2 linked regions of the Lonchura striata genome follow. The protein of the gene in region 1 interacts with the protein of each later gene in a pairwise test. Links are inferred from orthologs where the notes say so. Each region holds a gene or a part of one and is shown in the gene's direction. Other genes may lie near its edges.

What was found. The genes of interacting proteins can lie anywhere in the genome.
Region 2: the proteins of STX5 (region 1) and STX3 interact in binary tests that used the Homo sapiens proteins (3 or more experiments, as listed by UniProt). The link is inferred for Lonchura striata from reciprocal best matches to the Homo sapiens genes STX5 and STX3.

What each region holds. Positions count from the first base shown.
Region 1 is NC_134638.1:359,372-366,701, forward strand, and holds the start of STX5 (syntaxin-5), read left to right. Parts: upstream 1-4,319; 5' UTR 4,320-4,377; coding exon 4,378-4,440; intron 4,441-4,614; coding exon 4,615-4,688; intron 4,689-5,218; coding exon 5,219-5,274; intron 5,275-5,544; coding exon 5,545-5,615; intron 5,616-5,693; coding exon 5,694-5,810; intron 5,811-6,262; coding exon 6,263-6,319; intron 6,320-6,783; coding exon 6,784-6,859; intron 6,860-7,330. Other genes in the region: NAA40 (N-alpha-acetyltransferase 40), read left to right, coding at 484-567, 1,262-1,339, 1,491-1,533, 2,460-2,543, 2,873-2,902. UniProt on the Homo sapiens protein: Mediates endoplasmic reticulum to Golgi transport.
Region 2 is NC_134608.1:53,791,695-53,799,050, reverse strand, and holds the start of STX3 (syntaxin-3), read left to right. Parts: upstream 1-4,354; 5' UTR 4,355-4,555; coding exon 4,556-4,585; intron 4,586-5,951; coding exon 5,952-6,029; intron 6,030-6,107; coding exon 6,108-6,207; intron 6,208-6,294; coding exon 6,295-6,369; intron 6,370-6,486; coding exon 6,487-6,554; intron 6,555-7,040; coding exon 7,041-7,149; intron 7,150-7,324; coding exon 7,325-7,356. Other genes in the region: PATL1 (protein PAT1 homolog 1), read right to left, coding at 381-564, 696-782, 855-1,066, 1,199-1,288, 1,461-1,562, 1,655-1,849, 2,427-2,504, 2,584-2,795 and 2 more. UniProt on the Homo sapiens protein: Potentially involved in docking of synaptic vesicles at presynaptic active zones. Apical receptor involved in membrane fusion of apical vesicles.

The sequences.
Region 1 (7,330 bases):
TGGGGTTTTGGGGTGTCTGTTCCCCGGTCTCAGGGGGTTTTGGGGTGTCTGTTCCTCAGTCTCAAGGGGTTTTGGGGTGTCTGTTCCCGGGTCTCAGGGGGTTTTGGGGTGTCTATCCCCAGGTTTCAGGGGGTTTTGGGGTGTCTATCCCCAGGTTTCAGGGGGTTTTGGGGTGTCTGTTCCTGGGTCTCAGGGGGGTTTTGGGGTGTCTGTTCCCCGGTCTCAGGGGGGTTTTGGGGTGTCTGTTCCCGGGTCTCAGTGGGGTTTTGGGGTGTCTGTTCCCCGGTCTCAGGGGGGTTTTGGGGTGTCTGTTCCCCGGTCTCAGGGGGGGTTTGGGGTGTCTGTTCCCCGGTCTCAGGGGGGGTTTGGGGTGTCTGTTCCCCAGTCTCAGGGGGTTTTGGGGTGTCTGTTCCCTGGTCTCAGGGGGTTTTTGGGGTGTCTGTTCCCCGGTCTCAGGGGGTTTTTGGGGTGTCCCTCCTGCAGCTATGAGGTGCAGCTGGAGAGCCGGGTGAGGAGGAGGGGGCTGGGCAAGTTCCTGCTGCAGATCCTGCAGCTGGTGGCCAACAGGTCAGAGGGGTCTGGGGGGAAACTGGGGGGGTTTGGGGGGGACTGATGGGGATTTTGGGGGATTCTGGAGGGGTTGTGGGGAATGGAGGGGGTTTGGGGGGGATTTGGGGGGAAGGGAGGGGGTTTTGGGGGAATCTGGGTGTCGGGGGGATTTGGGGGGGATGTGATGGGGTTTGGGGGAGGTTTGGGGGCAGAACCAGGGGGAGTTTGGGTGAAATGGGGCAGTTTGGGGGGGAACTGGGGGTGTTTTGGGGTGAACCCAGGGCAGTTTTGAGAATGCCACTGGGCCGGTTTTTTGGGGTGAAACCGGCGCAGCTTGGAGCCAAAGCAGGGCAGTTTTGGGGGTTCCACGGGGGCAGTTTTGGGGGTTCTACCAGGCTGGTTTTTGGGGTGAAACTGGGGCAATTTTTGGGGTGAAACCAGGGCAGTTTGGAGCCCAACCAGGGAAGCTTTTGGAGTGAAACCGGGGCATTCTTTGGGGTACCATGGGGCTGGTTTTTGGGGTGAAACCAGGGCATTTTGGAGCTGATGCAGGGCAGTTTTTGGGGTTCCCAGTCCGGTTTTTGGGGTTCCCAGTCTGGTTTTGGGGTTCCCTGGGGCGGTTTTGGGGTTCCCTGGGGCGGTTTTGGGGTTCCCAGTCCGGTTCTGGGGTTCCCAGTCCGGTTTTGGGGTGACCCGCGCCCCGTGCCCGCAGCACGCAGATGAAGAAGGTGATGCTGACGGTGTTCAAGCACAACCACGGCGCGCTGCAGTTCTTCCGCGAGGCGCTGCAGTGAGTGCGGGGACACCGGGGACACCGGGGGACACCGGGGGACACCGGGGACACCGGGGGATACCGGGGACACCGGGAACACCGGCACCGGGAGGGGACACGGGGGGACACCGGGGACAGCTGTGACAGCTGTGGCACCCTGTCGTTGCAGTGACCGGGCGCCGCGGGCAGGCGGGGCAGGGGCACAGACAGAGGTGGGTGCTCGGGACCCAAATTCGGGGCTTTCGAAGGCCATTCTGGGGAAAATTTCCCTGTTTTTGGTCATTTTGCTGTCAGTTTGGGATCCCCTTTTGGATCCTTAAAAAACCCATTTTGGGTATTTTAACCCATTTGCAGTTGTTTTTTTCAGCTGTTTGAAACTAATTCTCCAACATTTTTTCCCTTTTCCCTTCTATTTTTTTATACCAAGGCTTTTATCCTTTTCTATATTTATTTTAAGCCTATATTTATAGGTTCTATATTAATTTTTTGGGTTGTTTTGGTCCTTTTCTGGGGGAATTTTAAGCTCATTTTATGTTTTCTTTCCCTAGTTTTAGAGAAATAATTTTAACTCTCTGTTAGTTTTTTAAACACATTTTTGGGGGTTTTGGTCCTTTCCTGAGGATTTTACAAACCCTTTTTTCAAGGTTTTAGTCCCTTTTCCAAGATTTTCCCCCATGCTTCTTTTTCATCTTTTTTAACCCACTTTTCCAAAAGTTTTTCCCCTTTTCCCACCAATTTCCACAACCTTTTTTCTGCTTCCCGTTACCCAAATCTGGCATTTTTAACCCCAAATTTCCAAGGACATTTTACATTTCCCTTTATTCCATTTTTCCATTTTTTGCTTGTTTTCCACCCATTTTCCCAGGCTTTCAACCCCTTTTCCCCAGATGGTTTTTAACCCTTTCTCCTCTGATTTTTGGGGTTTTTTACCCTTTTTTGGGTGCTGCTCCCCCCCCCCAGCCTTTCCCCTCCCATCCCCTCCCACTGCCAGCCTGGGGGGTGATGTGGGGGGGTCAGGGTGACAAGGAGGGGGTCCCGGGGGGTTTCTGGGGGTCAGGGGGCGTTTTGGGGGGTCAGGAAGGATCCTTGGGGCTCAGGGGGGTGGCGGTGACCCCGTGTCCCCCCCGTGTCCCCCCAGGTTCGAGGTGGACGCCACCTCCCCCAGCGTGTCCGGCTGCTGCGGGGACGATTCCTCCTACGAGATCCTGAGCCGCAGCACCAGGTTCGGGGACCCCCACCCCGGGGGGGGCCCCTGCGCCGGCTGCTGCCACTGAGCCCCCCAAAAACAGCCCCGCGCCCGCCCGGCGGGACCCCCGGGGCGGGTGACACAAACGGCCCTTCCCCCCGTGCCGGCGGCGCGGCGCTGGGCGGGGAGGGGGATTTTTGTGCTGGATTCGTATTTTATTTTTATTTTATTTTTATTTTATTCTTTATTTTTATTTTATTTTTTCTTTCTATTTTTTTTTTCCATTTTATTTCTATTTCTATTTTATTTCTATTTCTATTTTATTTCTATTTCTGTTTTATTTTTTCCTTTTTTTTTTTTTTCAGCCGTTTTGTTTGTACGGGATAAATAAATAAATAAATAAATAAACGTCAATTGAGGCTCTTGCGCTGGGGGCGTGGCCGTGCGCGGGAGAGGCGGGGCTATGCTAATGAGCAGCGCAGCAACTCGCGCGGCTACGAATAAATTATGTTAACGAGGGGGCGTGGCCATGGCGGGACGTAGCGGCGCGCGGCGGAAGTGACGTCAGAGCGCGCCGCCGCCGCCATGCTGCCGCCCGCCGCCCTCCTCGCCCGCTCCGTCCTGCGCGCCGCGGCCCGGCCGGGCCCGGCCCCGCGCGGGCTCCGCTCCGGGCCCGCGCTGAGCCCCGTCAGCACCGCGGTGAGCGGGGGGGGGCGGGGTGACCCGGGCGGGGCCGGGCCCCGGTGACCGGCGCGGCTCTAACGGCGCCGTCCCCGCAGGACACCGTGCTGGGCCTGGCCGCCGTGTTCGTGTCCATCTTCGGGCCCGCCGCCTGGGTGCTGGGCCACATCCAGGACTACCGCAAACGCGAGGAGTGAGGCGGGCCCGCCGCACACCGGGACCAGCCGCTGCGGGAGCCCCGCGAGCACCGGGACCAGCGCCGCGACCGGCGGGAGGCGCCGCCGCCGCCCATGGGACCCTCCCCGCTCCCCCCGCCCCAATAAAGGAACCGCGGATTCCGCCTGAGCCTCTGTGTCCGTCCCGCCGTACCGGAACCGGGCCCTGACGTCACCGGGGCGTCACGGGGAACGGCGCCATTGGGGGGGGGGGGGCTCGTTCCTGGGGGCGGGGCCTGTTGCTGGGGCAGATCAATTCCACCAATCAGATCGCGGCACAGCTCGTTGCTGGGGGCGGGGCTTTATGCAAGGGCAGATCAATTCCACCAATCAGATCGCGGCACAGCTCGTTGCTAGGGGCGGGGCCTGTTGCTGGGGCAGATCAATTCCACCAATCAAATCGGGACTCTTTGCTGGGGGCGGGGCCCCGCCCCTCCCGGTGTCCCCGGGCTCGGGGCCGCCATTCCCGCTCCGGTTTGGGGGGCGGGGTCTCATTTGCATACCGTTCCCGCCATTCCCCGCCGGCGGGAGGCGTTGCAGTGGGCGGGCCCCGTTTCAGCGGGCGTGGTTCCCATCCCCGCCCTCACCGGGGCGTGGCCTCTCCCCGTCCCCTCCCGGAAGTACCGGGGAGTTCTGTTCCGGTGCCGGCGGCACTTCCGGCGGAACGGACGTGGCAGTGACGTCAGCGCGGCCGGAGCCTCCCGGTGGCGGCGGCCGAGCCCGCGGTGAGGGGGGAGGGGCGGCACCGGGACCCCTCGGGGGCTCCGGGGCGGCGCCGGTTCGCGGGGGGCTCCCGGCGCGCCCCGTTCCGCCGCCGGTAACCGGTGCCGCCGGTGTCCCAGGGCAGGCGATGAGCCCCGATGCAGGCGCGCCGCCGGCTCGGGCCTAGGCAGCGCGAACCGGGCGCGGCCCCGGCGCCCCCCCGGGCGGCGGCGGCGCCTCCCGCGCCCCCGGAGCCGCCGCCCGCCGACGTCATGTCGTGTCGCGACAGGACCCAGGAGTTCCTCTCCGCCTGCCAATCGCTGCAGGGCCGCCAGGTGACCCCGGCACCCAAACCCCCCGGGAATTACCGGGGGTCTCCCCAAACCCCCCGGGAATTACCGGGGGGTCTCCCCAAACCCCCCGGGAATTACCGGGGGTCTCCCCAAACCCCCACCCCCCCCATCCCGGGGGTCCCCCCTGACCCCCCGTTTTCCCCGGTTCCCCCCCAGGACCGGGGGCTCCCGGCGGGCAGGGCCGGGCCCGGGCCGGGGCGGCCGCGCAGCGAGTTCAGCCTGATGGCAAAGTGAGGAGGGGTCTGGGAACCCGGGAATTCGGGGTTGGGGTCCCCCAGGAATCGGGGCTCGGGATCCCCGGGAATTGGGGTGGCGGTCCCCAGGTACGGCGGGTCAGGATTAGCCCGAATTGGGGTGGGGGTCCCCCGGAATGGGGCCGGGGGTGTCCAGGAATTTGGGGTCAGGGTCTCTGGGAATTGGGGGTTGGGGTCCTCAGGATCTGGGAGTAGGGGTCGCCGAGTGTGGGCGGTCAGGATCAGCAGGAATTGGGGTGGGGGTTCCTGAGAACTGGGGGTTGGAATCTCCAGGAATTGGGGTGGGGGTCTCCAGGAATTGGGGGTTGGAATCCCCAGAAATTGGGGTGGGGGTCCCCGGGTATGGTGGGTCAGGATCAGCAGGAACTGGGGTGGGGGTCTCCAAGAATTTGGGGTCAGGATCTCCGGGAATTGGGGTGGGGGTCCCCAGATGTGGGTGGGGGTCCCGAGGAATTGGGGCGGGGGTCTGCAGACCCCCCCCAATCCCTGCCCCCCCCTCCCCCCAGGCGCATCGGGAAGGACCTGAGCAACACCTTCGCCAAGCTGGAGAAGCTGACCCTGCGTGAGCGGGGGGCTTGGGGGTCCGGGGGGCTTTGGGGGGCTTTGGGGGTGTCCTGGGGGGATTTGGGGGTCTCTGGGGGGCTTTGGGAGGGTCAGGGGGGATTTGGGGGCTCACGGGGGAGTTGGGAGGGCTCAGGGGGGATTTGGGGTGTCAGGGGGGATTTAGGGGGTCTCAGGGGGGATTTGGGGGGGTCTCTGGGGGATTTGGGGGGTCCTGGGGGGATTTGGGGGGTCTCTGGGGGTCTCTGTGACCCCGCTGACCCCCCCGCAGTGGCCAAGCGCAAGTCGCTGTTCGACGACAAATCCGTGGAGATCGAGGAGCTGACCTACATCATCAAACAGGTGCGGGTGGGGGTCGGGGGGTTTTGGGGGGTTTTTGTGGGGGGGTTTTGGGGTGCCCCTGACCCCCGTGCCCCCCAGGACATGGGCAGCCTGAACGCGCAGATCGCGGCGCTGCAGGAGCTGCTGCGGGCGCGGCGCGGCCCCGGCGGGCGGCACCTGCAGAGCCACTCCAGCGGCGTCCTGCTCTCCCTGCAGGTGGGCCGGGGGCTTCGGGGGATTTTGGGGGGATTTTCGGACTCTTGGGGGGGTTTGGGGGATTTTTGGGTGGGTTTTTTAGGGGGTTCCTATGGGTTTTTGGGGGTTTTTTTGGGGGTGGTTTTGGATTTTGGGGTTTTCTTTGGGGGGTTTTTGGGAGGTTTTGGGGTTTTGGGGGGGTTTTTAGGACTTTTGAGGGTTTTAGAGGAGTTTTGGGGTTTTTTTGGGAGGTATGGGGGTTTTGGGTGGGTTTTGGGGGGTTTTTGGGAGTTTTGTTGGGGTTTTTGGGGGGTTTGGGGGGTGTTTTTGGGGGGCCTTTGGGAGTTTTTGGGGAGGTTTTGGGGGTTTTTTGGGGGATTTTTTGGGGCGGCTTTGGAGGGTGTTCGGGGGATTTTTTGGGGGGTTTTGGGAGCTCAGGGGCCCCCCAGTGACCCCCCACCCTCCCTCCCCAGTCCAAACTGGCCTCGATGTCCAACGACTTCAAATCGGTGCTGGAGGTGCGGACAGAGGTGAGCGGGGCTGCTGCAGCTTTTCCTTTCCCTCTTTTTTCCTTTCCCTCTTTTTTCCTTTCCCTCTTTTTTCTTTTTTCTCTTTGCTCGCTCCCTTCCTCTTTTCCCATTTTTACCTTTTTGCTCATTTCTCATTTTTTTTCTTGTTCTTGTTGTTACAATTTTTTATCCTTTTCCCGCTTTTTTCTGCTCCTGATTTTTCCTTTTCCTTCACTTTTCTTTTTTTCACTTTTCTGCTGCTTTCTCACTTTTTCTTCTCTTTCTCCAATTCTGTTCTTCTCCTTATTCCACATTTTCCCAATTTCTCCCCATTTTTCTCTTCTCTCCCCATATTTTCCCCCTTTCTTTGCTCTTTCTCCCCCTCATTTTTCCCCCTATTTCTCCCCATTTTCCCCCCATTTTCTCCACATTTCCCCCCCATTTTCTCTCACCTTTTTCCCCATTTTCCCCTGGTTTTGCCCCAGAACCTGAAGCAGCAGCGCAGCCGTCGGGAACATTTCTCCCGCGCCCCCGTCTCCGCCCTGGCCGCCAACAACCTCGGTGAGCCAGGAATTCCTGGGAATTCCGGGGGGGAAAGGGAATTTTGGGGGGGGTTCTGGGTGGGAAATGGGAATTTTGTGGAATTTTGGGGGAATTACAGGTGATAAAAGGGGAATTCTGTGTGGGAGATGGGAATTTTATGGAATTCAGAGGGAATTTGGGTGATAAAAGCAGAATTCTAGGTGGGAGATGGGGATTTCTATGGAATTCCGGGTGGGAGATGGGGATTTTTTGGAATTCCGACTGGAATTTGGGAGATAAAAGCAGAACTCTGGGTGGGAGATGGGGATATCTATGGAATTCCGGGTGGGAGATGGGGATTTTATGGAATTCAGACTAGAATTTGGGTGATAAAAGTGGAATTCCAGGTGGGAGATGGGGATTTTTTGGAATTCAGACTAGAATTTGGGTGATAAAAGTGGAATTCCGGGTGGGAGATGGGGATTTTATGGAATTCCGGGTGGGAGATGG
Region 2 (7,356 bases), on another chromosome or scaffold:
GATTCCCACAGGGTTCATCACCACCATTCCCAGTCAGACTAAAGTCAACCTTTCCCTGACAAGGATCTCTCTTGAGTTTTCCATTTACCATCTCCCTTGTCTCATTCCAGGGGTTTTATCCTGGCTCTGTCACGCTTCTGATGGAGATGACCTGCTCTCCTGTTATCCCAGACCTATAAAACCAGTCTATCCCAACATCTCCTCACTCCTGGAAATCTTGCCCAAGAAGGAGTCAGCTCTTCCCAGTGACGCTGATCCCACCCTGTCCCACTGCCTTCCTCTTCCAGGGAGGAAAACAACCCATTGCAGTTCTCCCTGAACTGACATCCCCTTCCCACCTGATATCCAATGAACAGGGGGAAGATGCTGCTCCTGAGTACCTGATAATAATAATCATCCAGGTAGGGATCAGTGCTCTGCAGCTGCATCATCTGGATCTTGGACACCCAGTCCTTTTCCCGCTGCAGCATGAGGTTGGCGTAGGGATCCTTACGGATCTGCTCCTGATGGCTGCTCCGGTGGCCCCCTCGGTCCCCCCCGGAGCCGTTGAGGCTCCGGTGCTGGCTGGCAGGAGAAGAAGGGCACCCGTGAGCACACCGGAGCTACAGGAAGGGACAGAGAGGGGGGGGACAGGTGACCCCGGAAGCAGGACACGTCCCCGTGCCGCGCGGCCCCGTCCCCGTCCCCGCACTCACTTCCGGTTCTGCTGCCGCTGGTGCAGGAGCCGGCGGTGCTGGGGGTGCAAATGGGTCGTGTCCGGCCGGAACATCTGGGGCTGTGGCCTGGGGAGAGCGGGAACGGTCAGGGAGGGATGCAGGGAGCGGCTGGGATGCCGGGACAGGGACAGCACCGACCTCAGGTTCTGCAGGTGGGATCCGGGGCCCGGAGGGTGCGGCAGCTGCGACGGGGGCGGGGCGGGGGGAGCCCCGAAAAAGGCACGGAACCCTCCGGCCGGGGACATCATCTGCCCAACTCTGCCCTGGAGCAGCTTGGGATTCACGGAGGGCAGTGGGCTCCCCACCAGCCCGGACACCCGGGCGAACTGGCTGGGGGACATTCGGCCAGCCTGGAGGGGCAGAGAGGACACCTGGAGTCAGCTAGGCGGGAAAAGGGTCTGGGATGGCCAACAAGAGCCATGGAATGCCAGGTCCTGGAGCCACGCAGAGAGAAAGGTGGGATAAAGCACGGGAAGCTTTACCTGGGCTCCTCCGAGCAGCTGGGCTCTCTGCAGGTGTGTGAGAACAGGAGACACGCTGTGGGGAAACGGGTGGCCCAGGAGGGAGGAATTCTGGGGAAAGAGTTGGGAAAAGGGACCCCAGTCACAGACCATGGCTGGCAAACAGGACAAACCCCAGGAAAGCCAAGCTCCCTGGGGTGGGGATGAGGCACAGGAACACAGGGAAGTTTTGTGAGGGCTCGGCATCAATTCCAAAAAAGATGGAGGAGGGAAAGCTGGATACCGGAACATTGCAGAGTTGGTTGGGGGACATCCTCTCTCCATAGGGAGCAGGATAACGCTGCTGCATGGTAGCTCGGATGTGGACAGGCTTGGGACACAGGATCTGGGAGGAGGCAAGTGGCACAGTCACTCCCCCTGGGAAGCAGCCTGCACCCTTGGGAGCAGTAGGAAGTTGGGAAGCGAGGAAACGGATACCTGCTGGTTGAAGTTTGGGATGGCGGCCTGTTTGGGGGGGGTGCCGATGGGAATGGCCCGGACCGGGGGGCTCCCGATGATGGGGGAGGAGGAGCGCCGGGGCAGCGCCCGCTCCGATGGATCCCGCTCCTCATCCCGAGCCTGCGGCGGCCTCTGGGGCAGGGCATAATCCAGCACGGACACCGACGGCATCTCCTGCAGGAGAATGGGCGGGACACCCCCTGGAGTCACGGGCTGGCATACGGAGGAGGGTCAGCGTCCCCTCTTCCTCCTGCCAGCTCTCCATGTCCCACTGTGCTTCCCTGGCATCTCCGTGCGACGCTGGGCATTCCCAGAGCACACGTGACTGCCAAGAGCACTCTGTTTGGGATAACAGGGCGTGGGGCGAGAAGCCTGGGTCACCTCCCAGCCCGGCAGAGCCAGGAAAGGGTTGGGAGAGGGTTGGACACGCAGCACTTCAAAGCCTGACTCTTAATGAAACCACAACACAAAAATCCTCTGCCTCCAGGCATGAACATTCCCAAATCCTGCTGAGAGCCCTGAAATCCCTCAGACATCACCAGGCATCCAAGAACAGCAAAGCCCATCATCCCAGCCCTCCAGGGTCCAAGGGTGGACAGAAGGTGACAGCTATGAGGGTCCCCCACAAGGCACGGATGCAGCAGAGGGAAACAGGACACTCCAATATCCCAGGAGTAGTCTATCCCACCCAGCTGGCTGCCACAGGCATTTGGGATCAGCAGGGAAGAGCCCCCTGCCCCCAGCACCCTACCTGAGTGAGGAGCGGCCCCCGGATGCGCCGCAGCATGGCGGAACTGTCCCAGATGCTGGAATTCAGCCTTCCAGGCTGCTGCAGAGCACAGGGAGAGTCAGGACGGCGCTGTGGGATCCACCCCCACATCCCCCCAGCTCCCCCAGCCCGCTCCCACCTGCGGGGGATCCCTGGTGTGCACGGCCTGCATGATGGCCGGGTCCTCCAGCTCGCTGTCGATGACGAGGCGGGTGAGCCGCTCGGCCAGCGCATCCTCGGGATCGCCCAGCACGTCCCCGTCGTTCCCAACGGGACCATCCGGCTCCCGGCTCGAGCCGGCCTTGTCCTCCAGCTCCGCCAGCCGCTCGTGGGCCTCCTGCCAGTCATCGTCTGCGAGGGGGCACAGGGTGAGGGACGCGGGCCGGGGGCATCTGTGGGGTCAGGGAGGGCTGGGGGCGACACCCCGGGTCTCACCGACAGCCCCAGCCCCGAAGGTGTCATCGTTGAACTGGTCGATGTCTTCATCCTCCTCCCCCAGGGCCTGGAAGGCGTCTTCATCCTCGTCCAGCGGGCAGTCCTCCAGGGACTGGGACGGCCGGGAACGGGGTCAGCCCCACTTCACCTCCGTGATGACCCCGCAGCCCATCATACCTACACAACACACCCCCCCAGCCAGCGATACCCCCCCAGCCCCATTACCCACCCCTGGCAATGCCCCCAGCCATTACTGCCATGCAGGGATTCCCCCAAGCCGTCACATCTCCCCTGCAGTGACCCCTGCAGACCCACAGCGTGACCCCTCCCGTTATGGCTCCCCCAGCCCCTTGCAGGTGCCCAGTGCCCCCAGACTCCTCCTGCCAGCCCGGAGCCCCCCTCACACCCCCTGCCAGCCCGTCAGCAGCCGCCCTCCCCAACTCATTTCACTTCCCCCGCCCCAGCCCGTTACACCCCCCCCACCCCGTTACACCGCCCCGGTGCCGTGCCGCACGGCTCTCCTGCAGCCCCGCGGAGCCCCGCGGGGCCCCGCCCGCCCCGCCGGCCCCTCCCCGCTCACCGGGTACCGGAACATGGCGGCGCCGGCGCCCCCCGCCCGCAGGCTCCGCGCCGCCCCGCCAGGCCCCGCGCCCCGCCGCGCATGCGCCGCCGCGGGCGCAGCCGCATGACGTCATCCCCGCCACCGCCCCGCGACCCACCCGTCGGCTAGGGGGCGGGGCCAACACAGACCACGCCCACTATAGACCACGCCTCCTCTCTATATTTCTTAAAGGAGTAGCGTCCCTTTTTCTCCCGGTGACACCCGTGCGTCCCCGCCCGCAGCCGTGACCCCCGGTGTCACCCCGGCCATAGCCAATGCCACCCCATCCCCAGCCCCAGCACTGCCCGCCCAGCCCTGTCCCCAGCCCTGTCCCACCCGCGGTCATGCCCACACCCGCGTCCCCCGTCCCCAGCCGTGTCTCCCCCTGTCCCCAGTCAGGACCCTCAGTGTGTCCCCTAACTGCAGACATGTCCTCAAGCTGTCCCCTATGCCTGCTCATGTCCCGTCTCCAGCCGCGTCCCCCAGCCGCGTCCTGAGATCACAGCTGTGTCCCCAGATGTGTCCCCTATCCACAGACTTGTCCCCCCGCCCCCAGCCACGTCCCCAGCTGTGACCCACATCCACGCCCCCCGTGTCCCCAGCTGCGTCCCCCCGGCCGTGTTCCCCGTCCCCAGCCGTGCTCCCTGTCCCCAGCCGCGCTCCCGCTGCAGTCACACGTGGCAGGGGGTGACACGTCCTCACCGTGTGACCCCCGAGGGGGATCAGCTTCCTCATGGCCTCCAAACCCACATCCTCCCCCACCCCTGTCACCTCCCGGGGTGCCCGGGGCCACCCGCAGCTGCCGGCTCCGGCGGGTCCGGTGTCCCCGCGCGTCCCAGGTGAAGGGGCGGCTCCACCGCGTCCCTCCCCTCGGCGCCTTCCCCGCGCCCGTCACTGGGGATTAGCGCAGGGACAGCCCCGGCCTCGGCGACAGGCACGGGGGACAGGGCCACCCGCCACCTCGCCTGGATGTAGGAGGCCCGGCCGAGCGGCGAGGACCGAGGGTGACATCGCCCATCCCTGCGCTGGGCGAGGACGGGGACCCCCCCGCGCCCCCCCAGCCTTTGGGGGCACCATGAAGGACCGGCTGGAGCAGCTCAAGGCGGTGAGGGACCCCCGGCGTGGGGAGGGGACGGGGGACTCCCCCAGGGGGACCCTCGGGAAAAGGGTGACACCGGGATGGGGGTCCCCGAGACCCCACCCCATGGTGGCCGGGGACATCACGGGGAGAGGGGACCCCAAAAACCGAGCCTGGGGTGGATGGGGACGTCACGGGGTTGATGTCACTGAAACGCCACCCCACGGTGCGTGGGGGTGTCACGGGGATGGGGGGACTCAGACCCCATCCCACAGTGGGCTGGGGTCTCGGGGACACCCCAGTCCATGAAGGGCGAGGACGCCACGGGATGGACGGCACCGAGACCCACCCTGCTGGGTGTGGGGTGTCACGGGGGTCACCCCACGGCAGGTGGGGGACCCTGAGCTCTGTACAACGGGGGTGACAGATGGGAGGGACCGGGGGGAGGTCATCCCCGTGCAGTTTGGGGGCACGCTGGGTGTTTTGGGGTGACGTGACATCCCCCCAGCCGAGTCCAATCCCTTCACGCCGTGGGGTGTGATGAGGGGACAGCAGCCCCCCGGCCCGTGGGGGGTGTCCATCCCGCGGGGGAGGCGGTGGATTTGGGGTGTCCACACCCCATTCTGCACCCCACACTTCCCCGTGTTCCCGCCACCAGCGCCGCTTCCTTCTCCCTTTTCCCGCTCTGTGTGGGGCCCCGCTTCCCCCCGCTCCTGGGGGGCTCCCCCTGCTCCCCGGGGACTGTGGGGGTCCCAGCAGGCCCCCAGCTCCCGGCCGGGCCCCTAGGCATGGCAGGGAGGCTTGGCAGGGATTTACCGGGATTATGGAGCCATCAGATAAAGCCCTCGGTGGGGACTGAAGGGATTAATTTTATTTTTACTCCAGCAGCAGGAGGAGGGAGTGGGGGGTCCCAGCCTGGGGTTTGTCCCCATCCCCAGGACACCCCAACAACACCTTGGGGTGCTGGTGGAGCTGAGGGGGTGAGGGGAGGCAGAAAGGTTGAGGCTGAGTTTTGGGAAGGGCGGGATTTGGGAGCACAGGGGAGGGGGCCTGGACACGATACCAGGGTGAAGGGCACCAGCCACCTTCGTGCCCCCCAGGGCTGCCCCAGACCTGCCATGGGGCCACGGTTTGGGACATAAACCCCGTCCCGTCCCCATCCCGTCGCTGTCCCCGTTCCCTCCCTCTGGCCAAGCCCAGCAATCCCTTAATTCCAGCCACGTGTGGCCAGATGTGAGCTGGGCTCGGCCCCCCTGCTCTCCCCCGCTGCAGATGTCCCCCCCTGTGCCACCACATCCCCCATGGCTACTCCCCCCGTGTCCCTGTCACCCGTGGGGGGCCCTGGGGGTGCTGGCAGGGCACGGGGTCCCCCCTGAGCGCCGTGTCCCAGCAGAAGCAGGATGCGGACGATGAGGAGGAGCTGGAGATCGCCGTGGACAACACGGCCTTCATGGATGAGTTCTTCTCAGAGGTGAGGGAGGGTTGGGGGTGGGGCTGGGGGGTGTAGGGCTGCCTCTTAACCCCCCAAAATCCTCCCGGGGGTGCCCAGATTGAGGAGACCCGGCAGAACATCGACAAGATCTCAGAGAACGTGGAGGAAGCCAAGAAGCTCTACAGCATCATCCTCTCAGCCCCCATCCCAGAGCAGAGTGAGTGCTGTCACAGTGTCCCCAGGGTCAGTCACGGGGCCCCCCCCGGGGACATTCCCAGGGTGGCTCACACCCGTGATCCCACAGAGACCAAAGATGACCTGGAGCAGCTGACGGCAGAGATCAAGAAAATGGCCAACAGCGTCCGTAACAAGTTGAAGAGTGAGTGGCCCTGTCCCCACCTTCGTGTCACGGGTGTCCTGATCCCCGTGGGACTCTGGATCATGGGGGCTGGCAGTGGGAAAGGTTCCTGGTGGGTTGAGGTCTGTCTCTCTCCAGGTATGGAAAGGAACATCGAGCAGGACGAGGCACGATCCTCAGCCGACCTCCGGATACGCAAGTCCCAGGTGAGCTCTGGCCCACAGCCTGCATCCCCAGGTCCCACCCTGTACCCCACGGACTGGGCATGTGGCATGTCCAGGAGCCCCAAGTCTCCCAATTCTATCCCCAACAGCACCCTGTGATCCCAGGCTTTGTGACCCTCTGCTCTGTCCCCAACCCTCTGTCATGTCGCCCTGTGCTGGGACATGCTACATCCAGGGTCCCCTGGCTCTCATGCCACTGTCCCCACTCCCAGCATGTCCATCCTGGGACCAGGAACATGCCATGCCCAGAGTGTCACTGATCTGAATTCCCATCCCCGCCCTCAGCACCTCAGCTTGTCCCCTGGGCAGTGTCACACCTCTCTCCTCGCTCCTGTCCCCTGTGAAAATGCCCCATGGGGATATAACATGCCTGGGGTGTTCCATGTCCCTCAGCGTCACACCGTGCCCTGTGGTGTCCCAATCCCAAAGTTCCTGTCCCCATCCTCACATCCTTGTCCCTGTCCCCAGCACTCGGTCCTGTCCCGCAAGTTCGTGGACGTCATGACCAAGTACAATGAGGCTCAAGTGGATTTCCGGGAGCGCAGCAAGGGCCGGATCCAGCGCCAGCTGGAAATCAGTGCGTGACCCAACCCCAAACCCCACCTCCTCCAAAAAGTGGGAGGAGCCAGCTCACACAGGCCCCTCCCATTTGACCAAGTTTGGTCAAGTGGGAGGAGCCAGGCGGCACAGACCCCGCCCCTTATTCCCGGACTGGGTGGGGCTTGTTCCCACCTCTCCCCACGTGCCTGCAGCTGGCAAGAACACGACGGACGAGGAGCTGGAG